Oryctolagus cuniculus: one gene and its partners. The protein of the gene in region 1 interacts with the protein of each later gene in a pairwise test. Links are inferred from orthologs where the notes say so. Each region holds a gene or a part of one and is shown in the gene's direction. Other genes may lie near its edges.

Region 1 (3,739 bases):
GCTGGAGCCCCTGTCTCCGCGCACCCACAGCCACGCTGGAGGCTCAGGGAGTGGTTCTAGCAGTTCTGGGGCGGATGGGGAGCCCTGGGGGGGTCAGGTGAGTGCGAGAGGCGCAACCCGCAGCATCCAGGCAGGGGAGACCCGGATCCTGGCTCTGGGGGGTTGCATGGCCCTGGGTTCTCGGTGGCCATCTGGCTGGCTCAGGGCACACGTCCTCCCTGCAGGACTCCCTCTCCCTGGCTCACCCGCTGCTCCGGCGCATCCGGAGTGACTCCAGTGTGCACATCCTGGGCTCTCTCCCCTCGCGACCCCTGGCCCCCGAGATGCAGATCCTGGAGGCCCAGATGGAACAGCTCCGCGGGTGAGCGCCACCACTGCTGAGCTTTTAAGGGCACCGGCCGCTGTCCTGCCGCCCCGGGGATGGGCGTCTAAGCCCCGGGGATGGGCGTCTAAACGGGGTAGGAGCGGGGTGGAAACTGGCCCCTGGCTGCTCCCCCCCTCCAAAGAGTCCCCTCGTTTTCCCTCTCCCTCCCCCACCCCGAGACAGAAACATCGAGAAGCTCAAATGCTTCAACCGGCTGCTACTGGCCGTGCTGCAAGGGCGCAAGGGCCGGTGTGAGAGCCTCAGCATGCGGCTGAGCCAGCGGGAAGCCGAGGCTACAGCCCTGCGGCTGGCGCTGCAGGACAGGTCAGGGGAGAGGTCCCCGCGGGGGAGGGGCCGCGAGCCACGGCGTGGGAGGGCGCTCAGGACCCCCGTCCCGCAGTGAGCACCGTGAGGCCGTGTGCGCGGCTCTCCTGGCCCTGCACGAGGCCAGCTCCGGAGCGCGGGACTTGGAGGCCACTGAGAGGGAGGCGTGGCGGCTGCTGGCACAGGAGGAGGGCGGCGCAGACGCCGCGGCACCGCGGAAGGCACAGCCAAGGTAGGCGCCCGGGGACCGCGCTGGGCCTTGGGGCTCCCCGGGGCTGGCCTCCGTGATGGCCTGCGGCACCCACTCCTCCTCTCCTCCCGCAGCCCCGAGGGCAGCAGTGTGGATAAACCCACACCGCAGGAAGTGGCCGCCCTGCTGCAGGGCTATGCCCGGCGTCTGCGGCAGCGCCAGGCTCTGGTGAAGACCCCCCCAGAGCCGGGCCCCACCGTGGAGCCCACGCCCACCATGCCCCACGCAGAAGCCATGGTGCAGGCCATGCTGGAAGCCCAGCCCGGCCCGGCCCTGCCGCGGTTGGAGAAGATGGAGATACAGAGGGAACTGGTGGCCACACGGGTACACAGGGGCTGTGGTCCCTGGGGGGGGGGGGTCAGAACCGACAGAGGTGTGGTTGGGATGGGGAGGGGGAAAGGTTCTGCTGGGCTGGGAAGGGCTTCCTGGAGGGAGAATTGAAGCTGGGGTTTTGAGGGATGAATAGGAGTTTTGTTACTCACAGACCTCTCAATCCAGTTTTTCCCAAACGTGCTCGCCAGCCTCAGTTTCCCCTCCCCGACCCCTCAGGAGACCCTGGCGGACCTGATGTTGCAGCTGCAGCTGGTGCGGCGGGAGAAGCGGGGCCTGGAGCTGCGGGAGGCGGCGCTGCGCGCCCAGGGCCCCGCCCACGCACTCCTGCTGGAGCAGCTACAGTGGGAGCGCGCGCAGCTGGGAGCCGCGGGGCCCCACAGCGGCGCGGGGGACAGCAGCGGGGCGGGCAGCAGCGAGGAGGAGGAGGAGGAGCGGCCCCAGGTGAGCGGCCCTTCGGGGGTCGCTGCCCTTGGCCCCTAGGGGTTCAGTGGATGAGAGAGAGAGAGGGAGAGAGGTCTTCCATCTGCCGGTTCACTCCCCACATGGCTGCAAAGGCCGGGTCTGGGCCAGGAGCCGGGAGCTCCATCCGGGTCTCCCACGTGGGCGGCAGGACCCAAGCCCTGGAGTCGTGGGCCCCTGCCTCCCAGGGGGCGCATGCGCAGGGAGCTGGGGCGCACGCAGATCAGCTGGGACGCCACCAACACTCTGATACGGCCACGGCTGTCCCAGGCAGCAGCCCGCCCCGCGGTGCCACCACACCGCCCCTGCCCCAGGCTTCTAAACGGGGCTCTTCGCATCACCCCTCCCACCTGCAAGCCGGTGCTGCCACCAGGAATGTCCACCGTCTCCAGGAAGCCCTCCTGGGTTGCCCTCAAAGGAGCAATATTCGGCACCCCACCCCACCCCGGCCCTGTGACTTATCTCCCTTATCAGGGACTTGAGGGTCTCTTAGCAGAATGGGGGCTCTGGGAAGCGAGGGGCTCTGGCTGCCCCCCCCCCAGGCCAGCTTCTATGCCCAGGCTGGGCTGAGCACTTCTAGACAGAGGTCACCTCCCTCCCTTCTGTCTCCTACAGGGTCCTCCTGCTGTCCCCAACGCCACCGAGGGAGGCCAGGTGGGCAGGGCGTGGGACCCGGAGAGGTTAGCCCAGGAGCTGGCCGCTTCGCTCGCCAGGTGTGTGCCTGGGTGGGTTCTGCGGAGGAGGCGGGGGTGGGGACGTGTGTGTGTGTGTGTGTGTGTGTGTGTGTGTGTGGTGTGGCAGCGTGCGCCTGCGCGCAGGGGCGTGGGGAGCGGAGAGGAGGACCGGGTCGGGCCGCGGCCGGAGCCCCGCTGTCTCCACTCCCGCGCCAGGGCCGCGGATCTTCGCGCTCAGCTGCGGGCTCTGTGGCGGGAGCTGGAGCAGGTGGCTCAGAAGGGGCGCGTCCGGCGGGCTCAGAGCGCCGAGCTGAACAGCGATCTATGCAAGGCGCACAGGTGGGCCGCCGCCCCCCGCAGCCCACCCCTGCTGACCGCGGGTGTGTCCCTGGGCCTCGTTCCCCCCACTTGGAAGATAGTGAGCGGGTGCAGTGCAGGCCACGCCTTTCCTGCAGGATGCCCGGAGCCAGCTAGGACGTAGCCCCGCCCCCGCGGCGCCCCGCCCCGCCCCCGCCGCAGCCCTGGGTGGGGTGGGGGTGCTGTTCTCTGGGGTGGGGCGCTGTTCCCCGGCTCAGCCACCCACACCCTGCAGTGCCCTGGTCCTGGCGTTCAGAGGCGCCCACCGGAAGCAGGAGGAGCAGCGGCGCAAGTTGGAGGAGCAGGTGGCAATCCTGGAGGCCCGGCAGGCGGAGGAGTTGGCAGCACTGGAAGCCACGGCCCGGGCGCTGGAACAGCCCGGGTGCCCCTGCCCGCCTCCTCCCCCCCAGCTTGGGGAGACCTTGCTGTAGGCTCCACCCCCAGCCACGTGTCATAAACCGGCCTGGAGTGACTTGTCGCCCTGGGGTGCATGTGTCCTCATGGGTGGGGACCGGTTGCCTGGGCCACCGGGGTCAGGCTGTGAAGGTCATGGTCTCCCCCTCCCCCCCCCGGGACCCGGAACAATCAATCCAGGGGACAGGGAAGGTGGCAGAGCCCGAGCTGATGTCCCCAAGTCCTTTCTTTGTCCAGAAACCCAGGGCGGGCCCCTGGGGACAGGACACTCGTCCCCTGCCCATCTGCTTCCCAGGGAACAATCCAGAACAACTGGAGGCCCCCAAGGTTGGGGTTCAGGTTCAGGTTCAAGGCGTGGATGGTCGGCTGGAAGAGGAATCAGGGTTTGTGGAGGCTGAGGGCAGGCATCAGAGAAAAGTCTGGAACTCTCGATGCGTGTCCTTCCGGGGAGGGGGTGGGGCACAGGCCTGCCGGGCCCTGGGCAGCCTGGGAGCTTCCAGATCTCCCGCGGAGGTTGGGGGCAGCGGGAGGCGTTCCTGCCAGGTTAATTGCAGGCGACTGATT
Region 2 (3,500 bases), on another chromosome or scaffold:
TCTAGTATTGATTAAAGTTGATATTGATTGTTTTAAAATTTTTTTTAAAATTTTTTTTCTTTATTTTTCAAATGCAGAGACAGACAGACAGAGATCTTCCAATGCTGGTGGACTTCCCAGATGCCCATAACAGCCTGGGTTAAACCAGATAGGCCAGGAGCCTAGAACTCAATCCAGATTTCCCATGTGGGTGGTAGAGACACAAGTACTTGAGCCATGATCTGCCTCCCAGAATGTGCATTAGCAGGAAGTTGAATCAGAAATGGAGTAGTGGCCTGCGCTGCACCTAATCCTCTGCCTGCGGTGCCGGCACCCCAGGTTGTAGTCCCGGTTGGGGCGCCGGATTCTGTCCCGGTCACTCCTCTTCCAGTCTAGCTCTCTGCTGTGGCCAGGGAAGGCAGTGGAGGATGGCCCAGGTCCTTGGGCCCTGCACCCGCATGGGAGATCAGGAGGAAGCACCTGGCTCCTAGCTTCGGATCGGCACAGTGCACCGGCTGCAACGTGCCGGCTGTAGCGGCCACTTCGGGGGTGAACCAACAGAAAAAGGAAGACCTTTCTCTCTGTCTCTCTCTCTCTCTCACTGTCTAACTCTGCCTGTCAAAAAAAGAAAGAAAGAAAGGAGGGAGGGAGGGAGTAAGGGAGTAGCTGGGATTCAAACCAAGCATCCATATGGGATGGAGGTTTCCCAAGCAGCAACTTAACTGCTGTGTGCCTCCTTATGTGTTGCTTTTATTAGGAAAATACAAATGACACTAAGTGTGCTCGCAGCATTTGCTTCATTTAAATTTCATGAAAATTATATCACTGTTTTCTTCTTTTACTCTTTTTTGGAACTGGATGGGGGGTCAGCATATAAAAAAAGATGTAGGTGTTTCTGTGCCTTAATATTATAGAAAATTAAGAGAAAGGAATGGTATAAAAGTCTCAGTTATTAAATAAAACCTTTTCCCTGACATTTCTTTTGCTTAGAGAAGTTATGATATCTTTACTGTTTCAGTATAGTCAGAAAAAAATCAAGTAATTCAGTGTAAGGAAACTTGATTTGTGACATGTTACAGTATAAGATGATTAGGGTATGGAATTCCTGGAATAACACATTGAAGGTTACACTAATACAGATATGTTTTCATTATTAATTTTAGGTAAGGGTTGATTGCTTAATGAAAATTTATAAATTACTCATGTTTTCTTATCTCTTTCTTTTTAAACAGTGGTAAATGAGAATGTCAGTCTTGTGATCTCACGACAGTTGCTGACTGATTTTTGCACACATCTGCCTAACCTGCCTGATAGCACAGCCAAAGAAATCTATCACTTTACCTTGGAAAAGATCCAGCCTAGAGTCATTTCATTTGAGGAGCAGGTAAGAATCTAGAACAACAGTTTTTGAATTTGAGATAGCGGCAGTTGCTTTGAGAATCTGATGCTATTAAATTCCTAATGGAGATAATTGTGCAATTTGATATTTGATGAAATAGAATCTCAACCAGCGTTTTTTGCTTTTAAAGATTTATTTTATTTGTTTGAAAGGCAGAGTTACAGAGAGAGAAAGGGAGAGACAGGGAGAGATCTTCCATCTGCTGGTTCACTCCTCAAATGGCTGCAATGGCCAGGGCTGGGCCTGGCTGAGGCCAGGAGCCAGGAGCTTCATCTGGATCTCTCACATGGGTGCAGAGTCCCAAGCACTTAGGCTATCTTCTACTGCTTTCCTAAGTACATTAGTAGGGAGTTGGATTGGAAGTAGAGCAACCGGGACATGAACCAGAACCCATATTGGATGCTGGCATCACAAGCAGTGGCTTCACTCACTGTGCTAACAGTGCTAGTCCTGTCTACCACCATTTTACAGTGTAAAATCTAATAAATATTAGAATGTTTGCAATTCCACCTGACATTTGCCCATATATTAAAATTTGATCTTACCAGTCAAATATTACTCTTTAAACAGTTTTAAAAAGTCAGTATAAAAAATTGTTATTAGACTACACACGGGAAACTTCAACATCCTATATGCAGAGACATAAAAGCAAATTTTAACATTTAAACTAAAATATTACCATAACTCACATTGCAGAAATGCATTGTTTCATTTCACTGCTTTGATATTATGTGAATGCGAAATTCATAGAAAAATTTGGGTGGTCTAGATAAACTTTGATTTGCCACCCTGTATGTTGAATAAGAGCATTGTCAAAATGGATTAGTTTATCATCTATTTATTTTAATTGACTAATGAGTTATGGTTGAAGTAATTTAACATGTATACCTTCTATTTCAGGTTGCTTCCATAAGGCAGCATCTTGCATCTATATATGAGAAAGAAGAAGATTGGAGAAATGCAGCCCAAGTGTTGGTGGGAATTCCTTTGGAAACAGGACAAAAGTATAGTAAATAGTGGATATTGAATGAATATATATACATATACATACACACATATAGGATATATAATTATTTACCTACATTTTTTTCTTACATTCTAATACAGGAAAGAGATAAACAAGTTATAAGTAAATTTTGTAGTATGTTAAAAGATAAATGCTTACTTACAGAGAAAAGTAAGGGGAAAAGAGGGGACAGATTGTATATATCATTAAATTGGGTAGTAGGGTGGTCCTGATGTCACTTTCCCAAAGATTTGAAGGAGAGAGGGTAGTGGATTAGAGCTATTTGAGGGAAGCACATCACTGGCTACTCAGAGAGATGGTTAATGCAAAGGCCCTAAGATGGGAACATGTATTTTCAAGAAGAATAAGGAAGGGGCTGGCACTGTGATGTAGTGGCTTAAGCCACCGCTTGTGGTGCCACATCCCATCTGGGTTTGGTTCAAGTCCTGGCTGTTCCACTTCTATTCCAGCTCTCTGCTAATGTGCCTGGGAAAGCAGTAGAAGATGGTCCAAGTGCTTGAGCCTCTGTACCCACGTGGGAAATCCAGAAGAGGCTTCTGTCTCCTGGCTTTGGCCTGGCCCAGCTCCAGCCAATGTGTCCATTAGGGGAGTAAGCCAGTGGATGGAAGATTCTGTCTCTCCCTTTTTCTCTGTAACTCTGACTTGCAAATAAAATAAATCTTTTTTAAAGATGTATTTATTTATTTGAAAGGCAGAGTTAGAGAGAGAGAGATTGATCTTCCATCTGCTGGTTCACTTCCCAAATGGCCACAGTGGCTGGAGCTGAGCCTATCTGAAGCCAGGAGCCAGGAGCTTCTTCCAGTATCCCATGTGGGTGCAGAGACCCAAGTATTTCTGCCATCTTCTTCTTTTATTTTTAAAGATTTATTTTATTTATTTGAAAGAATTACAGAGAGAGGTAGAAACAGAGAGAGAGGTCTTCCACCCGCTGGTTCACTCCCCAGATGGCTGCAATGGCCAGGGCTGCGCCAATCCGAAGCCAGGAGCTAAGAGCTTCTTCTGGATCTCCCACGTGGGTGCAGGGGCCCAAGGACTCGGGCCGTGTTCTACTGCTTTCCCAGGCCATAGCAGAGAGCTGGACCAGAAGAGGAGCAG
Region 3 (4,187 bases), on another chromosome or scaffold:
GTGTCCGTGGTGCGGCCAACTCCAAGAGCCCGCGCCCTCGGCAGCCAGCCCCAGGCCCCCATCGCCAAGACTGGGGCCGTGGGGGCTCCCTGTCGGTGTGAACTGTGGTGAACAGGACAGTGGGCTCATACGGGGCGCCCACCACAGGTGGTGTCCTGCACGGCGGGGAGTCTGCTAGAAGGACCCTGCCCCCAAATGCTCACCTGTCCTGCAGAGCCAGGGTTGAGCCCAGTCTGCTGGATTCTACGCCATCAGCATTTGTTTTGTTTTGTTTTTTGTTTTTTGCCTACTTGGTGGTACCAGGCCGTCCTGGGCAGGACCAGCACAGAGCATGCCCTGTGCAAAATGCAGACGCTCACGCATTTAGGCCAAGAGCCACTCGCCAAGCTCACAGAGGTCACCCCTGTACAGGAACCCCGGGGAGGTCAGAGGGCAGCCCCCCAGAGGTTCCAGGATCCCACCACGGCCCTGAAATGACAGCTGGCGTCCAAGGGGCTTGGCTGGATGTCACCGGCCCACCCCAGATGCCCCGTGTCTGCACCCGCTAACAGGGGCCCACCCAGCAGAGCCTCCAGGCTGTGCCACCTTGCTGTCCTTGCCGCCAGCATCGGGGCTGCGCCGTCTCAGAGCTTGGCGGCTTTCACCTCTGGGCTTGGCCCAGCTTGCGGGGGGTGGAGCAGGGGAGGAAGGAGAGAGACACAGCCCCTTTCCCTCAAGTGAAAGCAAAAGGCAGTGAGGCTCAGTGGTCACAGGCTGGAGCCAGCAGGCCTGGACGCAGAAGCCCGGCCCTGCCACTCCCAAGTGGGTGACCCTGGCGAGTGTTTGTCCCCCGAACACGTGCGTCCTCGAGGGAGGGGGCATAGACTTGAGGATGAGCTGAGGCCGTACAGCAGGGGCGGGGAGGTGACCGGAGGCGCTCAGGTCCAGGCGCGGGGCTCCTGGCAGAAGGCAGAGGCGTTCCTGGTCAGGGGGCCCTGAGGGAGGGGACTGCGTGGGCAGCGGGCGGGCGAGGGGGCAGCACTCACTGCCTACAGGGTGTGAACTCCCACACAGGGGGGAGGGGCTGGGGAGAGGGCTCAGCAGACTCTGTGCTGGTTGCCGCGGCCAGGGCTGGTGGCAGCAAAGCTGTGAGCGCGTGCCAAGGGTGAGACTGTCGGTGCCAAGTGCAGCGCCTGCCCCCGCGTGGTCTCACGGGGCCCTCACGGCAGCCTCGAATCCCTGCTGCACAGGACCATGGCCGAAGCTGTGAGACCACTCAGATTTGCCCGCGCTGCTGAGCCAGCACCCGTAGCTTCCGGCTTCTGAGCCCACCCCCTGCACCTGCGGAGGGGCATGTGTGACTTGGCCCTGGCCTGTGACATCACACAGCGTTGCCCAGGTGACCTGGCCGGGTCTCTTCCAGGTCTGGGCAGAGAGAGGGCCTCCCCTTTCATCACCTTCCTGAGGGCGCCTGGAGTCGAGTGCCCGGCTGGGGACCCTTGCCCAGCTGGCCATGGCCCACATCCCCCAAGTCGCCCCCACCTCCACCCCCTCTCGCTCCTGAGAAAGCTCTGGACCCCTGCCCCCAACCTGCGCCCCACCCCTGCCCCGTGCTCAGATCCAGGACTGGTATCTGGCACCCCTGTGAGCGCAGGGACGCCCAGCACCACTTGCCACCCCCAAAGACACCAAGGCTGCAGGGCCAGCTGTCCAGGCAGGACGGACGCCTGGTCACTCACAGCACCAGGGACCCTTCCCCAGGGTTGTTGACCAAAGCTGGATGCCCCTGCCCCCGAGGCGATGGGACTGAAGAAGAAAAAGGTAAGGTGGGGGTGCACGGTGTGTGCACAGCACACTGCCCCTCGCATGCAGCCCCTCGTTCTGACGACTCCCGAGCCTGCGCACCAACGTCCCTTCTCACAGCCTCAGCTTTCGCATCTGTGAAATGGGGCCCCAGAGGGTCTCTGTGGTGCCTCCAGGGTGGGTGTCCTAGCACCATGGGCCAGTGGATACCTGGCTACCACTGCCCACACTGCTGGTTGCTGGGGTCACACGGGCTCAGAGAGCCCCCTGAGATGGGGCCTCCCCCGGGTCCCTCCCTGGCAGGGCTGGCTGCCAGGCTCCAGGCTCCTGCCCCAGGCTCCTAGCTCCTGCCCTGGGCCCTTGGAGAGAAGGAGCTGTGCTGTGCTCACTGCTGTGTCCCCAGCGCCTTGCACACAGCAGGTGCTTAATGAACCCTGTGGCCGAGCGCAGGTCTAACATCCAGAATCTCGGGTGGGACCAAGTCCTCCGCGTTGCCGAGCCTGGGACAGCAGCGTCATGTCCGCGTGGCAGCAGGCGGGGCTGAGGGCTCTGAGCACCTAGGGACACCCCCTCTGCACTTGGGCTCTCCCGGGGGGGCCAGAGCCCCCTGTGGCACCTACATTCACAACCCTGGATTCCGACGCCTCTGGTTCCGGGCTGCCGTGCCCAGAGCAGGCCCCCCCAGGCACCCTAAGCTGTCGGCTGGGGCCCCCTCCCCACCAAGCTGGGTTCAGGGATGCAGAGCGTGGCCTCGAGTGTGATTCGTGGTTCCGGGGAACACATTTGACAGCGGCCGGAACTCCCTAGGAGCTTCCTAATGTGTAGCGAGGGTTACATCTTCCTGCCTTTTTTTAAAGATTTATTTTGTTTATTTGAGAGGCAGAGGCAGAGAGAGAGCTCTTCCATGTACTCATTCCCCCGAAGGACTACAACACGGGCTGGGCCAGGTCAGAGTCAGGAGCCGGGAACTGGACCTGTGTCTCCCACGCGTGTGGCGGGGACCCAACTGCCTGGGTCAGCACCTGCCACCTTCTCACTAGCAAGGAGCTGGGTTGGAGCCAGAGCAGCCGGGACGCGGTCGAAGGTGGCGGCCTTCCCCGCGCTGCGCCGGGCTCCAGCTGCACCCTGCCGCTCCCCGGCCGGTCCTGACCCACACCTTTTAATGGTGATGTTCGCGGAGCTCAGGACCCCCTGAGGACTGGGGACATTGGTCTTTTTGTAGACAGGGCGCCTATTTGCCCCCACGTGTCTTTTCTCTGCATTGTGGTGAATTGCAGCCATTCTAGAAATTTCTGGGGAATTTCAAATGTAATCCCACCCCTCAGACTGCCCTTGATGGTCTCCTGCTTTGAGTCCCTTTAAAAAAAAAGAATTTATTTATTTGAAATGCAAAGTTACAGAGAGAGAGAGAGAGAGAGATTCCGTCTACTGGATCACCCCCCAATGCCCACATCAGAACTGGGCTGACCTGAAGCCAGGAGCCAGGAGCTTCCTCTGCGTCTCCCACGTGGGTGCAGGGGCCTGGGCACCCCGGGCCGTCTTCTTTTACTTTCCTGGGCACGTTAACAGGGAGTTGGATCGGAAGTGGAGCAGCCGGGACTCAAACCTGCACCCCTGTGGGATGCTGGCGTGGCAGGCAGCAGCTTACCCCGCTATGCCACAGTGCTGGCCACACAGGCCACTGCTCTGGCTGCCGCCAGCCCTCCCGAAGATCACAGCTCCGAGGCCTCCATGAGGCGGACCCCAGGATGGGCCCCAACTGCAAACAGGTGTTCCAGGTCCCGCTCCGCTGCGGCGGGCCCTGCTGTATGCTTGGGGGCGGGGATTTTGTCTCTCTGAGTGCCCCACCCCCAGCTATAAAGGGGCTTTACCTGGGCATCAAAGCTCCCGGCAAGAGGCAGGCACCTGGTTAAAACGCCACTTGGGAACGCCCACATCCCATCTGGCTCCACTTCTGATTCCGGCTTTTTGCGTGTCTGCTGTGTGCGATCCAGCATGGGGGTGGCCGACGTTTGTAAACTGTGAAGTGCTGTGCACAGGAGGGACCTGGCGGGACGGGTGGGCAGAGCTGAGCGCATGGGAGAGACTGACCGGCCGCTTGATGTGGCGCGTGGTGTGGGACCGGGGAGAGAACGGGGATCGGAGGTGACAGCCGTGCCGCCCCAGAGCAGGTGGAGGAAGAGCGAGGGAACTGGCAGCTTATAGGGGACAGAGGGACAGAGCGGAGGGGGGGCCACTCAATGCTGCTGTCCCCGCAGGTTGCCGAGGGCCCAAAGGAGCCCCTGGACGTCGCCCTGAGCACGGAGCCCACCGCCAGCCACCTGGCTCCCCTCAATAAGGAGGTGGTCGCAGTCACCATCCACGGGGCCACCCACCTGCCTGCCTGCGGGGACGGCTCCGAGCCC
Region 4 (3,981 bases), on another chromosome or scaffold:
GGGGTTCTGCAAGGCAATTTTGTGAGGACAGGAGGGGAGGTCAATGGAAGGTCATTTGATGGTGGTGGAATCCATAGAGCATGGTTTGGAGACAGAGCAAGTGACAGTTGGAATTGATTTGAGGTGCGAGTGACGCCCACATTGAGGGTAGCTGGTAATATTTGGAGTGGTGTTATGGACTCTTGCAGAGCCAGTAGGGGATTCATAGTGTATGGTTGGAGGGTACATGGAGAGTGGTTTGGGATCAATGGACAGTGTTTTGGGTGCACATTGGAGGCATTTGGAGGATGATTTGGAAGTGCTGTTTGAAGGCTAATGGCTTCAGGGCTAACTGCAGACGGTTTGAGGAACAATTTGGGAGTAATGGAAGGTAGTGTTTTGGTGCGGTTTGGAAGTCCATGGAGGATGGATTGGAGGTACTACTTAGGATCAATGGGCAGTAATTTGAAGACATAATTTGGGGGATAATGAAAGATAGCTTACTGCGTCCACTGATAGACCTTGAACAATTTGCTGTTGTTCTTTTGGTTTGCACCAGGATGTGAAAGAAAAATCCCTGCACTTTCTCTTTGTGACAGCCTACATTGAATTGGGGAATACATTTAAAGAAAAAAGAAAGAATGAACGAAAGATAGTTTGAAGATTGAAATTCAGAGATAAATGGAGAGTGATTTGGAGATTGTGGGAACACAGTTGGGGGTGCACCAGGAGATTCTATAGGTGATCTGGGTGTAATTTTGATAGTCATGGAGGGTCATTTAAGGGATAAAGGCTTGGCGTCAATACAGTGTGATTTAGGCACAGCTTGAAGGTCAATGGGAGGTGGTTTATTGGTGCAGCTTGGATGTCCATGGAAGATAAATCAGAGGTCCTGCTTCGGATCAGTGGACAGTACTTTGAGGGTGATGGAGAGTGGTTTGGGGTGCATTTGGGGATGGCGACAAGGAAAGCTGGGAGAGTTTAGAGGTGTGGTGATGGCTTATAGAGAGCAGCATGGGGTACAGCTTGTACCGCCTAGGGGTCCGTGCAGAGTGACTTATGGGGGGGTGCCTATCTGCTCGCCGAGGGGGCGTGGCCATGGCAGGGCTGGGGGAGGACTCCGCCGCCCTAAAGAAAGTCTGTGCGCACGCGCTCCCAGCCTGTTCACTCCTGGCGCTCCCAGGGCAGGAAAATCGAAGAGCCGACCTGGCGCCTGCGCACTTCGTCCTCGCCGCTGCTGTGGTCTCGCGCCCCGCCCCCCGCACCCCCCACCCCGAAGCTCGCGTTCAGCGGCGGCGGTGGTCGTGCCGCCGGGAGCGGGCGGACCCGAGTGCAGGGTGGGGGGCGGGGGCCCAGCGCCGGCGGCTTGGCCGGCGCTCCTCTCCCACCCCCCGGGTGCCCCCCGTCTGGCCCCACGGTAACGGTCGCGCGGCTGAACGCGGCCCACGGGCAGGGCGCGGAACAGGAGAAGGCGCGCGCCCGGGGACGAGCAGGGCGCAGCGAGGGACGGGCGCGCCCACTACCCCTGCCGGCCTGCACCGACCCCGCCTACGCCTCTGGGTGAGGACCTTCGGTGAGTAAGACCCCCGCACACACTTGGGGAGCAAGGGAGGGGACTGGGTGGGCTGAGGGCCCGGAAACGCTGGTGAGGATATACCTGCGCTGGCATTCACGACCTCTGACCCCGTGGCCTCACCCCTGACCCCCTCTGACCTGACTACATGTTATTGAGATCTCGAACCCCAGCCAGCTTTGGCCTCAGGACCTGTGGTCCAACCCCTAACCTAACCACATTCTGGGGTGGTGGGATCTTCATCCTCTGTTTTGTCCCCCTAAATCCAGTCAGGACCCCAAACCCCATCCAGTTCTGTCCTTAGCATCCTTGACTTGATCTCTGATTCTTGATTGAGCCCGTCTCAGCTTTGAGGCTCATCTTGTTATGTCCTGGTGCTTGACCTTAACTCTTACCCAGTCTCTGAACCTCCGCCCCTCTTGTTTCCTTAACCCCAATCTGATCCAGTTTTGTCCTGATTCCTAACCTGACGTAGGTACTTTCACCCTGCCCTGTACTGTGCCCCTGGTCCCTCTCCTTACTCCAGTCTCCATCCCAGCTTACCACCTGTATATGTCCCTCTCTGTCTCCTGCTCTGGCCCCAATCCTGTCCTATTTTTCCCCCTTTTCTTGTCCCATCACCATTCTCATTCCAGTCCTCACTCTCTCCTGGTCTTTTCCTGTTCCTGACCTCTATCCCTAACCTGCCCTTTTTCCTGTTCCCTCCCTTGACAACTGGCTTCTGTTCTGTAGGGATGCTGTCCCCCGCCCTGCTGTTTTGTTGTACTTTGCCTCTAACCCTGTCTTGAATCTTAGCCATCCCATCCCCTGAGCAGTGTTCTGGCTCACTTCCTGTCCTGCCTCTTGACCTCCATCCCAAGATGTTTCTGTCTTGTCCTCTGTACTCCTTCCCTTCCTGTCGCTTTATCCCATCCCAACCCTAGACCCCTCTTCCACACTCTGTCAGATCTCCCTCTCCCTTTCCTAATACCTACTTCCCATCCCCTCTGAGTTCAGGGCAGGGGTCCCATTATTCCCTGCCCATAAACTTGAAGGTTCTACGGGTCTTAAGACCTCTGAAGTACATCACAAGTGCTTTCCTTAGCGTGAAGAAGCAGCCTTGTGAGTCTTGTGTAGCTGATAGGATTTTTGTATGGGATTTCCCACACCTGCACCCCAGTGATCTCACATAGACCTTGCATTTCTCGCCCTGCCCTAGGAGGGCCTGGAACTGTTCATCAGCCCCCTGCCCTCCCCGGGTGTGAAAGAACACCTTCAATTATTCATTGATTCTCTAGAAGTTGGAGAGTCTGAGAGGTCTGCGTCATGTTTCCAGCTGTGTTTTGTTGGGGGGCTGCCTCACGTTGGGAGGAAGGGTTTACAAAATATGCAGGACTGAGGGCCCTAGGGGTTTGTCTGAATCTTCTAGATCATGTTACCTCCATCCCTGACCTTGATCCTGGGTGTGGGATCCCTTACTTTCCTCCCCTAAAAAAAAAAATCTATTCTAGGCCAGAGGCTTCAGGACTTGGTAGGGGTTTATTCCCCTTTTCTTGGAAGTGAGCAATAAACATCTTGGTGCTAAGTTCACCTCATCTCTGGGAGGCTGGTCTGGGGAGGTGGGAGACAGGCAAGCATTGGATTGAGAGAGTGAGGTCTATCCAGCAGTAGCAATGACAACAATACCATGAGCTTCCTTCGCCTTCTCTCTTCAGTCTCCTTGATTCTGAGGATGGATGAGGAGAAGTTAGAGCATAATATGTTACTCAATTATGTCTTGAGCTTACATTTTTTTTTAAGATTTATTTACTTATGAGGCCAACAGTGTGGCGTAGCAGGTAAAGCTGCTGTCTGCAGTGCTGGCATCCCATGTGGGTGCTGGTTCCAGCCCCGGCTGCTCCTCTTCCGATCCGGCTCTCTGCTATGGCCTGGGAAAGCAGTAGAAGATGGCCCGAGTCCTTGGGCCCCTGCACCCACATGGGAGACCTGGAAGAAGCTCCTGGCTCCTGGATTTGTATCAGCGCAGCTCCGGACATTGCAGCCATTTGGGGAGTGAACCAGCGGATGGAAGACCTCTCTACCTCTGCCTCTCTATAGCTCTGCCTTTCAAATAAATAGATAAATCTTAATAAAGATTTGAAAGGCAGAAAGAGAGAGAGAAAGAGTGAGAGAGATATCTTATATCTGCTAGTTTACTTCCTAAATGGCCGCAATGGCCAGGGCTGAGCCAGGCTGAAGCCAGGAGCCAGGAACTTCTTTCAGGTCTCTCATGTGGGTGCAGGGGCCCAAGGACTCGGGCCATCCTCCACTGCTTTCCCAGGCATATCAGGAGGGAGCAGCTGGGACTCGAACCAGCACCCAAATGGGGTGCTGGTGCTGTAGGTGGAGGCTTAACCTGCTGCACCACATCACTGGCCTCAAGCTTACATTTTTCATAGAAGAGTAGTGAG
Region 5 (4,227 bases), on another chromosome or scaffold:
TGAGAGAGACAAACTTGTATTCTGGAGGCTGGTGCTGTAGTGTTGTAGCCTAAGCCTCCGTTTGTGGCACCGGCATCCCAAATGGGCACTGGTTCAAGCCCCAGGTGCTCCACTTCCGATTCCGCTCCCTGCAAATGCCTGGGAAAGCGGTGGAAGACGGCCTGAATGCTTGGGCCCCTGAACCCACGTGGGAGACCCAGAAGAAGCTCTTGGCTCCTGGCTTCAGATCGGCACAGCTCTGGCGGTTGCTGCCATGTGGGGAGTGAACCAGTGGATGGAAGACCTCCCCCTCTCTCTGTAACTCCGCCTCTCAAATAAATAAATCTTTCTAAAAAACCAAACTTGCGTTCTGAAGGAATCTATGGCTCTTCTTACTTTTCCCTAGAGCTACCAGAACCCAGAGTCCCAGCAAATCAAGGTTGGAAGGCTCAAGAGGCGATGACGATGACAGCAGGAAATGCTTTATGAAAACGTCCTTCTCTTACGATGCAAGTTCTCATTTAACGTCACAGCAAACCTGCGGGGTGGTTTTCATCCCCATTTTACAGGTAGGGATGGGCGTCAGGACTCCTGGCACCAAAGCCCATACTCAGCTAGACGGCCTCCGATGGCCCTGGTGACATAATGTAATCTGATTTGTAAAACCTAAATTTTACAGAGGCGGCTCTGGGAGGGCGAGGGGAGTGCCTGACCCCACTCTTACGCAGAGGAACTAGCATTTGAGCCTCTGCAGGGCGCCGTCTGGTCGAGAAAGAAACGTTTAGGGGGCCAGCACTGTGGCACAGAGGTGAAGCCTCCCCCTGCAGTGCTGTCATCCATGTGGGCGCCCCTTGGTCCAGCTGCCCCACGTGCCATCCAGCTCTCTGCTAAGGCCTGGGAAAGCAGTGGAGGATGGCGCCAGTACTTCGGCCTCTGCACCCACGTGGGAGACCTGGAAGAAGATCCTGGCTCCTGGCTTCCATCAGCAGTTGTGGCCATTTGGGGAGTGAACCAGTGGATGGAAGACTTCTCTAACTCCACCTGTCACATAAATCAATAAATCTTTAAATTAAAAAAAAAATAAAGAAAAGAAAGAAACGTTTATGAAGCACCTGCTTCGTTTGACTTCATTCTCAAAACAGCCCCTTCGAAGTACTGCGCCGATCTCTGGGAAGCCAGAGACTCAGAGGGAGAAGGAATTCTCCCCAAGATCAATTCAGCACAGTAATGGCGCCGTGGAGGTCACACAGTTAGCTCAGAGGCTTCCAGCAGTTTCGTTAACCGAACCCCAGGTTCTCCCCACGCGGCGTCTCCGGAGCAGCACCTAGGAGCGAGCACCATTTCCGCAGACCCGAAGCGGCTCATCCAAGCGGTGCATTCTGGGATTTTTAGTGTCCCCCCCCCCCCCGCCAACCCAGAGAGGCTAGACCAGCGGGCCAATAGCATTCGAGCACCGGCGACTGAACCCGCCTTCGCTGCCTGCTGGTTGTTCAGAGACCCTTTCGAAGTAGCCAATGAGAAGTGAAGGGGTCTTGGTCGCCAGGGAAACCGCGTGACAACAAGATGGCGGCGCCGCGGGACGGCTCCTTGGCCCTGCGTGGTGAGTCCCGGCCCAAGGCCTTCCTGCGTCAGGAGACCCCTACGCAGACCCGAGCTCTCGCTCCGAGAGCCCCGAGGGCCCTCTAGCCCCGCGGGGTTGCCCCACTCCCAGCAGGCGTCCTGCGTCCCTCGAGCGGATTGGGGGCCACGCTTACGGCGACTACGTGTGGAAGCGGGAGGAGGCAACGCGGCCGCCTGGGAAGGGTTAAGCCGTGATGGACGTGCATTTTCCACTGGGATTAGGGAGTGGAGGCGAAAGACCGGCAGGCCCTAGGGCCTGGGGGTGACGGAGGACACTGTCAGTCATGCACGGTACTGAGTTCTGTCCCCAGCATGTCGAGGCGCCGAACATAGCTTTACCCAGAAATTCCGGTCCGAAGGGGAAGACAGCGCCTGCAAGCCCGAGAGCGAAGCGGGGGAGACAGGGCTGTGTCCCCAGGAAGCCCCAAGCTTGGGCGGGAGACGACACGGCCGTGCCCTTGGGAGCCCGCAGACTGATGGGGAGACCCAGTGTTTGCTCGCGGGGGGTCTTTTGTAATCCACATGAAGATGGATCCAGACACCGGGCTGGCGGCCAGCGGCCACCACCGTGACAGCCCCCGGCCAGTGAGCGTCCCACCAGGGTGACCGACAGTGGGCGACACTCCAGGGCTTGGTAACGGATGGGATTTTGTGGTTGGATGATGGGGTCCCACAACAAGGGTGGAATTCCTTTTTTAAAGCGATTAACGGCTTTACTGAAATTCACCCCTTTACTGTGTGAACGTCAGTCACTTTGGAATACTTTAGTCTGCACAGCGGGCCTTTTGTATCTCCAAGGTGTGGACGTCTTTTTCTCGTTAGTGTTCCCTAAGCAACGGGGTGTAACATTCCAGTCACCCGCTACATAGGGCGTTTTGGCTAATGACAGGCCACATAGACAAGGGTGTTCCCGTAAGATTGTATTGGCGCTGAGAAGATCCTACCGCCTAGTGACATGGTAACCATGGTAACATCATGGGCACCACGTCCTCACAGCCTTTGTGGTGATGCCAGCGCTGCCGCCATATAAAGGCATAGCAGGTGCAACTATGTACAGTAAGTACTGCTTGATCACGATAATAAATGACTGCTACTGGTGTATGTGTTTCAGAGCGTACTCCTACTTCTTAAATTTAAAAGTTAACTGTGAAACAGCTTCAGGCAAGTCCTTCGGGAGGTGTTGGGCGCAGGCATGGTTGTCGAGGGAGATGACAGCTCCATGGTGCTATCACCCAGAAGCCCTGGAGAGGGGAGACAGTGACGCTGATGGCGCTCACCCTGCATGGGCCTACACAAATGGGTGTGTTTTGTCTGAGTTTTTAGCCACAACTCATGGTTTTGTTTTGTTTTGTTTTGTTTTTTGACAGGCAGAGATAGACAGTGAGACAGAGAGACAGAGAGAAAGGTCTTCTTTTTTCTGTTGGTTCACCCCCCAAGTGGCCGCTACAGCCGGTGCGTTGTGGCTGGTGCACTGCGCTGATCCGAAGCCAGGAGTCAGGCGTCTCCTCCTGGTCTCCCATGGGGTGCAGGGCCCAAGCACTTGGGCCATCCTCCACTGCCTTCCCGGGCCACAGCAGAGAGCTGGACTGGAAGAGGAGCAACTGGGACAGAATCCGGCGCCCCAACCAGGACTAGAAACTGGGGTGCCGGCTCCACAGGCGGAGGATTAGCCTAGTGAGCTGCGGCGCCGGCCCTCACAACTCATTTTTTAAGCGCTTCCTTTGGGCTTGGCATAGGGTTGGGTGCTCTGTGTTATCCGCATCCCTGCCTGGCTGTCACTGTTCCTGCTATCCCCATTTTACAACAAAGGAAACAGGTGCAGCTTGTGCCAGGGGGTGACAGAACCTGTCCAGAGCCCAAGTTCTTTTTCCCTTCTTTATTTGAGAGGCAGAGAGAGAAAGAGGGGACTCCCGTTCACTGGTTCTCTTCCCAAATACCTGTGACAGGCAGGGCGGAGCTAGGGCTGAAGCTGAGAACCTGGAACTCAATCCAGGTGTCTCATGTTGGAGGCAGGAACCCAGTTCCTTGAGCCATCACTGCTGCTTCCCAGGGAGCCAGAGCCCAGAAGCAAACCCAGGCACTCCAGTGTGGGAAGTAGGGACCCTGGCCTCTAGGCTAAATGCCCACTCCAGGGCCCAGAGTCCAGACTTTTGTTTTTAGTCATAGTTTTAATGATTTTGTGGCTTTTCAAAAAATTTTATTTATTTATTTGCAAGAGTTACACAGAGAAAGGGAGAGAGAGAGAGGTCTTCCATCCATGGTTCACTTGCCAGGCAGCTGCAGTAGCCAGGTGTGGGCCAGGTTGAAGCCAGGAGCCTCCTCTGGGTCTCCTATGTGGGTGACAGGGGCTCAAACACACAGGCCATCCTCCACTGTTCCTCCCAGGCCACCAGCAGGGAGCTGAATCAGAAGTGGACCAGCTGAGACACAAACTGGCGCCAACATGGGACGCCAGCATTGCAGGCGTCAACTCTACTTGCTATACCACAAGCCAGCCCCAGAGCCCAGACTTCTTTGTTTGTTGGTTTTGTTTTTAAGGTTTATTTAGTGGGGCGCGCATTGTGGCGTAACAGGTTAAGCCTCCACCTGCGATGTTGGCATCCTATATGGATGCCAGTTCGAGACAAG
Region 6 (4,144 bases), on another chromosome or scaffold:
CACTGGCTACCTGCTGAGCAACCCAGCGTCCACACCAAGCAGTGGGTGACCACGATACCCGTGCTGCCTGTTGTTAGGGGACCCACAGCACACACAGTGACAGCCCAGGACCACAGTGGGGGAGACACAGGCAGAGGAGCCGGGGAGGGCTCCCCAGAGGGGACCTTTGAGCTGAGTTCCTCCAGTGAGAGGCACCTGGGAACCGAGGGCACATTTTCAGCGTGAGGAAACAAGTTTAAAGAGCCCGAGGCCTGGGCCAGTGCTGTGGCGTGGCAAGTTAAACCACCGCCTGCAGTGCCCCATCCCATATGGGTGCCAGTTCAAGTCCTGGCTGCTCCGCCTCTGATCAGCTCCCTGCTAATGCGCCTGGGAAAGCAGCAGGGGACAGCCCAGCACTTGGGCCCCTGCCACCCACACAGGACACCCAAGTGGAGTTCAAAGCTCCTGGCTTCGGCCTGCCCCAGCCCTCACCGTTGTGACCAGCTGGGCAGTGAACCAGCAGATGGAAGGTCTGTTTTACTCTCCGCAACTCTGCCTTTCAAATAAATAAATCTTTAAAAGGAAAAAAAGCCGGAGACCTTTCACTCTCCATGTTGAGGGCTTGCTGTGCACCTGGCGCTGTTGTAGGCCCCTGGGGTGCAGCAGGGAAGGAAGACAAAATTCCTGCGAACGCGGAAACGAAGCCCGAGTGAAACCATTTCACAGAAACTAGCAGCGAACCCGGGCGAAGGACAGACCGGGAACGCTTCGGGGCTGACGAGTTTAGATTCTGCCTCTGGGGCAGCGGGGAGCCGCGAGCAGCCCCTGAGAGAGGGAGAGACCACGAGAGGACGTGCCGCTGAGTCCTGGGGACCGGGAGGCCCCCGGCTGTGCGGGAGGGGCGGGACCGCGGTCACCCAGGCAACGCAGGCCGCGCCTAACTATTGGCTGGCCTTTAGCTGCGTCATCCCCCAGCGCCCAGCCGCGCCCGGGCTCGGAGCCTCGGGGGCGTGGCCTCCGCGAGTGACTCGGCCCCGCCCGCCCGGAAAGCGGAGCCGACAGCGGCGTAGCAGCCGGTCTTGCCGGGTGACCGGTCCGAGCTGGACAGGAAGGGACGGCAGAGAGCAGCGCTAACGGCCCGGGAGCGAGGGCCGGGGCTGAGCTGCAGGGAGCGGTTTCGGTGCGCCCGCCCCCCCCTCCCTCCACACGTGGCCCCGCCCCGTCCGAGTCGGAATCCTTTAAATGGTCCTGGGCGCTCCCGAGGGGCGGGCGGCGGGGGCAGCTCGGGAGTCCCGCGGCGGCTCCGCCCAGCCAATCGGCGTGCCGCGGCGGGCAGGCTCCAGCCAATCGCAGCTCGCGGCTCGGCTCCGGGGCCGGGCTGGGCGGGCCCGAGGCCAGACGGAGAGGCCCCGGGGCAGCGAGCGCGACTCCTACCCGGCGCTGGTGGGGCGCGGCGCGGCGGGCGGAACGGAGCTGGTCGCTGCGAACTGGTAGCCGAGGTGAGCGGCGGCCGCCCGGCTCAGAACCACACCCGGGGCTGGGGGCGGTGGAGGCGGGGCCTGGGCAGTAGAGGAGGGCGCTGATGGAGGGCGACTGGTAGGGGCTGGGGGACCCTGGACGGGAGGCGAGATGCTTTAGGCAGGATTTTCAAGGGGCGAGAGTTTGAGCTGCGACTCGAGATGTTTGGAGAAGCGAGAGAACCAAGGCGAGGAACTTTTGGGGCAGGGAATCCGAGGACTAGGACAGTGTTGGACTCCCGGGTGGGTTGAATTCGGGGCTCTGTGGCTTCCTGGGAGAAGATGTGAGAGGTCTTCCAGGGCTGGGACACCGAGCAGTCGGAGAAGCAAGGGGACCGGCTAGAGCCGGGGGTTCTCGGAGACCCCGAGACGCAGAGGCGGGCAGAGGGCGCTGAGGAGAGAGCTCGGTCTTCGGGGCTTGAAGCGGGACGCGGAGTTTGGAAAGTGAGAGGACGGAGTTGGGGGTGTGCCTCAAAATTAGGGCGCGCCGTCTCCCGTACCGGCCGGGTCGGAGAGCGCTCGTCGTCTCTGACCTGGGTCCCTGCACCCCGGGATAGTGGGGGGGAGAACTGGGATCCGCGGAACCCGCAGAGTGGGTGGGGGAGGGGCGCTCCGGGCGTGGAGGCACCGGAGGGGCGGGGCGCGGCAGGCGCCCGGCAGCTGGACGTCCGGGTTCCCATCCCCCACCCGGCCGGGCCCCTCTGCGCATGCCCTAAGGGAGGGCGGGGCCGTCCTCCGGTCGGCGAGCTGAGCCCTCTGGGGACTGTAGTGCCGCTACCTGGCGGCTGTTGGCCCGGGCTTCCCAGAAGCCCCCGGGCCAGAAAGGGGCGTTCCTGCGCGGCGATCTGAAGCCGTGGGAGGGGCGGGGCCTGTGGCGGCGCCACGGTCTGGTTGGCTGGGGCCCCCGGGGGCGGGGCTTGGCTAAGTTTCGTGGCGGCGAGTTTTCCTCGGGGCGCGCAGTGGGGGAAGGCCCGAGCGCGGGGAGCGGGGATGATTCGTTCCCCTCTCGTGAGCGCGTCCGTTCGTTAGGGAAGAGGGCATGGACAGAAATGCCCTGCCTGCGAGAGAAGAGTCAGGGCTCGGAGGGGCCCTAACGGAGCTCCAGGCAGCTCTGTGGGACACGCACTCAGCGGAGTAAGTGGCGCCTGAGCGCTTTGTGTGTGCTGGGCCTGGGCACGTGGGAGCTCCCAGACGAGGCGGTGAGAAGCAGTTTTACAGACGAGGAGACTGAGGCCAGCGTCACGCAGCTGAGCAGTGTCCAGGGCACAGGTCAGCCCGGGATTCCCCACTTGGATTCCCCACTTGCAGTCCAGGTCTCTGCGCCTGTCTGTGGGTGACTTGCCTGAAGAAGTGAGAGTTGTGGAAGAACGGTTTCTAGGGTTCGGAAGGACTTCAGTTAGGACCTTGTTCCACAGAGGGGGATGCAGGGTCACTGAGGGCAACAGGCGGGGGCGGGGGGGGGGATCCGAGCCCAGCTTTGCTGGCATCCTGATCACTTTCCTCCCCTCCTTAGCCTGTGGAGTTCAGGTTCTCTCGCTTCTACAGATGAGTAAACAGGTTCCGGTCATTAAAACATTCACCATCAGCTGCGTGAGCCTGCCAGAGAACGCGGGGTTGGAACCGGCCCTGGTGCGTCTGACCTGACCCTCTTCCCTCCCCAGGGCACCGTCATGGTGGGGGGCCTGAAGAGGAAACACTCCGATCTGGAGGAGGAGGAGGAGGAGCAGTGGGCCTGGAATCCAGCGGGCCTTCGGAGCTACCAGCAGGCCCTGCTCCGCATCTCTCTGGACAAAGTGCAGCGCAGCCTGGGCCCGCGCGCCCCCAGCCTCCGCAGGCATGTCCTCATCCACAACACCCTCCAGCAGCTGCAGGCCGCCATCCGCCGGGCCCCCGCGCCCACCCTGCCCCCCGAGCCCCTCTTCTTGGGCGAGGAGGATTTCTCCCTGTCGGCCACCATTGGCTCCATCCTCAGGGAGCTGGAGACCTCGATGGACGAGACCGAAGCCCCGCAGGGCCCCCCGGCTCCCCCGGGCCTGCAGAATCCAGTGCTGCCCCAGCCGGATCCGGTCTTCCTAGAGGCTCTGAGCTCCAGGTACCTGGGGGACGCGAGCCTGGACGACTTCTTTCTGGACATCGACACCTCTGCGGTGGAGAAGGAGCCAGCACTGGCCCCGCCGGAGCCCCCTCACAACCTCTTCTGTGCACCAGGCTCTTGGGAGTGGAATGAACTGGATCACATCATGGAGATCATTCTGGGGTCCTAAGACACTGACTGGGGGGCCTTCCTCTGGGCGGGCTGGATCCCCGGGTACCACTCTGTGTGTTTTGCTGGGGGCTCAAAGCAGGGACTGTGGCCCCCTCGCCTCCCATGTCAGGGTTCCACAAACAGTCTTGCATGTGTGTGTGTCTGGTTAGCGCAGCCTTCTGTGAAGGTGCGTCTTCCTGAGTTAATTTATCTCTTCCAAATGCCTTAACCAGGACTGCCTCTGGGAGTCCGATTTCCCACTTACACATTTCTTCTGCCTCTCCCTCCACTTCCTGCTCCTCTTGTGACCCCTGGCGCCCTCAGGGCAGATGAAGCTGGGCCCATCAGAGGGGGCAGGGATGTGCTGCCAGGTTGCCATGGAAACCCAGTCTCTGCCTCTGGC
Region 7 (3,500 bases), on another chromosome or scaffold:
ATGGGTGGCAGGAGTCCTGTTACTGAGCCGTCACCACTGCCTCTCAGGGCCTGCATTAGTAGGAAGCTGGAGTCATGAGCTGGGTTTTGAACCCAGGTACTCTGCCCCGGGACCCAGGTGTGTTAACCACTGAGCCCAAAGCCCAGCTGGCTGTGTAATTTGAGCCCTGCAACCACAAAGCATCCCACAAATCTGAGTGGCCTTCAAAACATTTCTAAAAAATGTAGGTTATGCTAAACAATGCATGGTTTTCTTTTTTAAAGAAAATTTGCAATTGAAGAAAACTTACCTTTCGATTCCATTTTTCCCTGAACTTTTAAAAGTACCCTTGTAGAACACGTAATGGGAACTCAACTTCCTCTGATGGTCCCGAAAGTCCTCCCTTGCCTATTGGCCAACTGTAGGTATCAGCCTCACAGCACCTTAAGTGAGCAGAGCGGAGGCCGAGTTTTGCCAGGGGCCCAGCTGATGGGCGTGGGAAGAAGACAGGGCTGGCTCACTCTCCCACCCTGGCCTGGGTGGGTCCTGCTCAGACCCTCAAGGCCTGGGCTGTGTGCCTTGAAGATGCACTGAGCTGTAGGCTTGTTCTTTAATAGTGCTTGCTTCTCTCTTGTCTGCCAGTTCTCCCAGTGTACAGACAGAATCCAACACCTGGAGAAACAGTTTCTAAATCCTGAGGGTCAGAACAGAACCCGCTTCCTCTCGGGGAAGGATATGACCGAAGAAGAAATAATGGAAAAATTAGATGAGGTGAGTGTCGCTGCTAGACATCACCTCCCCGTGCCCCCTCGTTGGCACCTGCAGTCCCACAGAGGCTGCGTGTCATGCGGGCAGGCCTACCCTCAGCTCACAGGGGAGAATGTCCCAACTTGATTCAGCCACGTAGTGCGAGAAGGCAAAAATCCAGTGGTTTCCAGAGTCCAAGGGTTCCTTCCTCTTACAGCCCCAGAGGAGTGGTTCTGGCCCCTAGAATGGTTTCAGCTGCCTTTCTCCAGGGACCAATAGCAGGAGAGCTGAAAGACACAGGTGCTAGCTAGGGACTAAGCAGAGCCCTACCCCACCCGGGGCAGGACCCCTAGAGTGATCTGGAAGGGGGATACCCGTGAGGTCTTTCAGCAAACGTGTCTCCTCCTCTCTTCCTGTTAAAACTGTTTTTCGACCGTAGCTGGAAGTTCGGCTGGCCAAAAAGGAGGAGCAGTTACTGGAGAAGGACTTCATCTACGAACAGGTGTCCCGGCTCACGGACAGGCTGTGCAGCAAAACTCAGGCCTGCAAGGAGGACACGCTGCTCTTGGCCAAGAAGGTCTGCCGGCCCCGCCCCCTCCCTCCGCTCCGCTCCTCGGTTAGAGAATTGCCTAAAAAAAAGCTCCCATCTCAGTTGCTGACTCGATTCACTTGCTAGTAGGAAAACCTAAGCTTTGCGGTAACAGCTTGGGAGTCTGATTCAGCAAGATAATTGCTCCAACATGACCCTGTAGCCTTTCCAGTTCACGTGCTTTCTAGTGGCGGGAAGGCCTCCCTTTCCCATCCAACCAAGCAGCTCTGCTCCAGAACTCGGCCCGAACCAGCAACGGGGGAGGGGACGGGGACTGGTCACGAAACGGCAGTCACACCATGGGTGGGGGAGGGACCACCGGGCCCCCTTGGGAAGGAAAGGTCAGTCCCATGGCGCTTCCTCCTTGAATAACCTTAAAATACCAAGACGCGGGCTTCCAAGCCACAGGGTCGAGGAGGAACCGATAGAAAGTTCCACTGAAGGACACAGCCAGGGGGAGAAAGGCTGGGGACTGGGAGGCAGTGTCCCGAGACCGTGCACCCCAGAGCAGGTGGACCCCCAGCCCTTGCAAGCCAGCGATATCATAGTGACTGAACACACTCGTGCCTGCTCCCTCAGGCTGAGCCTGACCACGCATGTGTGTGCGTGCGCGCGCACACACCCCCCAGAGGCCTTGTGAAGACATAATGGTAACGCTCGCACCCCAGGCTATGGGCTCCTAAGGGCAGCCGTTATCTCTCATTGTTCTGGTTTCCCAAGACGTGGAAGCAAATCCACTGAACACGTACACAGGCAGTCTTGTTCCGGGAACAGTTCCAGCAACTACCCGGAAAATGACTTCAAACCTCGGGCTGCCTTGGCCACCCTTCGCCCTTGGACTTCAACCCTCACGGCCTCCGCTGATCATGCATCCCAGCGGCTGCTGCGTCATCCACAACTCTCCCTCGTGAAATCAGGAATGCTAAGTGTGCTTAAGCTCAGGAACGCTGCCTGAATCAGCCTTGCCCGTGTTTCTTTAAGCGTCATCTGTCTTCCTGTTGCAGAGTCAATTTCCTTTTCTTTGGGGAAGTCGTTTTCCGGAATCTCTCTGGAGGCAGCCACAATGCTAGAGAAATGGAAACAGGGGTCGCTTGCTGCCAGAGACGCTCCCAGCGAGCTGAGTCCGAGCCTCTGATTAACCTCTCTCCTCCCCCAACTTCCATGCTCTCCATTTGCCTCTGCTCGCCACCCACAATCTCTTCATAGTAGGAAGAACTGGCAAGTAGTAGAAAGACATTTAGACCTATGAATGATCTGAAGTCTCAGTTTCCTCATCTGTGAGATGGGTGTGATATGAGCTAAAGCTGTTGCAAGTCTTACATAGCTGAGCATGTAAGTGTCCTTAGCCACTTAGGGGTATCACTTTTCCTAAATAGCTTATGGCTCCTTGTGCCAGTTTCCCAGGTGAACAGCAATATGGGAAGTCTCAGAACTTGATACCAAGCTTATTTGAATTTATGGAGGAAAAAGGAGGTTGGCCAGTTTTGCACACACAGACACACAAGTGCATTAACTGAATTAGATTTATGGTAATGACTTAGCATTGAGGCTTTACAGGACAAGTCTTTTTCACTCAGTACATGCTTCCTTAAAAATCAGTTCCGGGCCGATGCCGCGGCCCACTAGGCTAATCCTCCGCCTTGCGGCGCTGGCACACCGGGTTCTAGTCCCGGTCGAGGCACCAGATTCTGTCCCAGTTGCCCCTCTTCCAGGCCAGCTCTCTGCTGTGGCCAGGGAGTGCAGTGGAGGATGGCCCAGGTGCTTGGGCCCTGCACCCCATGGGAGACCAGGAGAAGCACCTGGCTCCTGCCTTCGGATCAGCGCGGTGCACCGGCCATAGCACGCTGGCCGCGGCGGCCATTGGAGGGTGAACCAACGGCAAAGGAAGACCTTTCTCTCTGTCTCTCTCTCTCACTGTCCACTCTGCCTGTCAAAAAAAAAAAAAATCAGTTCCAAGCAGAACAGTCATAAAAATTTATATTCCCTGCTCCCTTAAGGGAGTTTGTCTACAATAATCAGTTACTACATTTTCAGAGGCCAGGAATGCACCAACACCAACATTTCTCTCAACAGATGTGCAGCTATGACCAGCGTATGCCTATTAAGAGAGAAAGGTAGGGATAGTTTGGGGCATGAAAATGAGCTTCCCCAATCTGTCCTGGTCCATTCATTCCTTCAGAAAACA

The links.
Region 2: the proteins of USHBP1 (region 1) and COPS4 interact in binary tests that used the Homo sapiens proteins (3 or more experiments, as listed by UniProt). The two-hybrid records come from large-scale screens. The link is inferred for Oryctolagus cuniculus from reciprocal best matches to the Homo sapiens genes USHBP1 and COPS4.
Region 3: the proteins of USHBP1 (region 1) and CCDC33 interact in a two-hybrid assay, tested with the Homo sapiens proteins (2 studies listed by BioGRID and IntAct). The two-hybrid records come from large-scale screens. The link is inferred for Oryctolagus cuniculus from reciprocal best matches to the Homo sapiens genes USHBP1 and CCDC33.
Region 4: the proteins of USHBP1 (region 1) and CCDC120 interact in binary tests that used the Homo sapiens proteins (3 or more experiments, as listed by UniProt). The two-hybrid records come from large-scale screens. The link is inferred for Oryctolagus cuniculus from reciprocal best matches to the Homo sapiens genes USHBP1 and CCDC120.
Region 5: the proteins of USHBP1 (region 1) and UBXN11 interact in binary tests that used the Homo sapiens proteins (3 or more experiments, as listed by UniProt). The two-hybrid records come from large-scale screens. The link is inferred for Oryctolagus cuniculus from reciprocal best matches to the Homo sapiens genes USHBP1 and UBXN11.
Region 6: the proteins of USHBP1 (region 1) and SERTAD3 interact in binary tests that used the Homo sapiens proteins (3 or more experiments, as listed by UniProt). The two-hybrid records come from large-scale screens. The link is inferred for Oryctolagus cuniculus from reciprocal best matches to the Homo sapiens genes USHBP1 and SERTAD3.
Region 7: the proteins of USHBP1 (region 1) and CCDC146 interact in binary tests that used the Homo sapiens proteins (3 or more experiments, as listed by UniProt). The two-hybrid records come from large-scale screens. The link is inferred for Oryctolagus cuniculus from reciprocal best matches to the Homo sapiens genes USHBP1 and CCDC146.

The regions. Positions count from the first base shown.
Region 1 is NC_091447.1:65,254,492-65,258,230, reverse strand, and holds the end of USHBP1 (harmonin-binding protein USHBP1), read left to right. Parts: coding exon 1-97; intron 98-224; coding exon 225-361; intron 362-547; coding exon 548-688; intron 689-764; coding exon 765-920; intron 921-1,012; coding exon 1,013-1,262; intron 1,263-1,487; coding exon 1,488-1,712; intron 1,713-2,345; coding exon 2,346-2,443; intron 2,444-2,620; coding exon 2,621-2,743; intron 2,744-2,996; coding exon 2,997-3,192; 3' UTR 3,193-3,239; downstream 3,240-3,739.
Region 2 is NC_091439.1:82,801,268-82,804,767, reverse strand, and holds part of COPS4 (COP9 signalosome complex subunit 4), read left to right. Parts: intron 1-1,211; coding exon 1,212-1,363; intron 1,364-2,278; coding exon 2,279-2,382; intron 2,383-3,500. UniProt on the Homo sapiens protein: Component of the COP9 signalosome complex (CSN), a complex involved in various cellular and developmental processes.
Region 3 is NC_091443.1:109,375,177-109,379,363, reverse strand, and holds the start of CCDC33 (coiled-coil domain-containing protein 33), read left to right. Parts: upstream 1-1,387; 5' UTR 1,388-1,779; coding exon 1,780-1,800; intron 1,801-4,040; coding exon 4,041-4,187.
Region 4 is NC_091453.1:34,200,861-34,204,841, forward strand, and holds the start of CCDC120 (coiled-coil domain-containing protein 120), read left to right. Parts: upstream 1-1,181; 5' UTR 1,182-1,552; intron 1,553-3,981. UniProt on the Homo sapiens protein: Centriolar protein required for centriole subdistal appendage assembly and microtubule anchoring in interphase cells. Together with CCDC68, cooperate with subdistal appendage components ODF2, NIN and CEP170 for hierarchical subdistal appendage assembly.
Region 5 is NC_091438.1:145,170,679-145,174,905, forward strand, and holds the start of UBXN11 (UBX domain-containing protein 11), read left to right. Parts: upstream 1-1,427; 5' UTR 1,428-1,542; coding exon of another isoform or gene 1,543-1,579; intron 1,580-1,593; exon of another isoform or gene 1,594-2,655; intron 2,656-4,227. UniProt on the Homo sapiens protein: May be involved in the reorganization of actin cytoskeleton mediated by RND1, RND2 and RND3. Promotes RHOA activation mediated by GNA12 and GNA13.
Region 6 is NC_091449.1:13,879,284-13,883,427, forward strand, and holds the start of SERTAD3 (SERTA domain-containing protein 3), read left to right. Parts: upstream 1-1,344; 5' UTR 1,345-1,478; intron 1,479-2,393; exon of another isoform or gene 2,394-2,765; intron 2,766-3,009; exon of another isoform or gene 3,010-3,157; 5' UTR 3,158-3,166; coding exon 3,167-3,760; 3' UTR 3,761-4,144.
Region 7 is NC_091434.1:141,755,154-141,758,653, forward strand, and holds part of CCDC146 (coiled-coil domain-containing protein 146), read left to right. Parts: intron 1-621; coding exon 622-750; intron 751-1,165; coding exon 1,166-1,303; intron 1,304-3,500. UniProt on the Homo sapiens protein: Essential for sperm flagellum biogenesis and male fertility.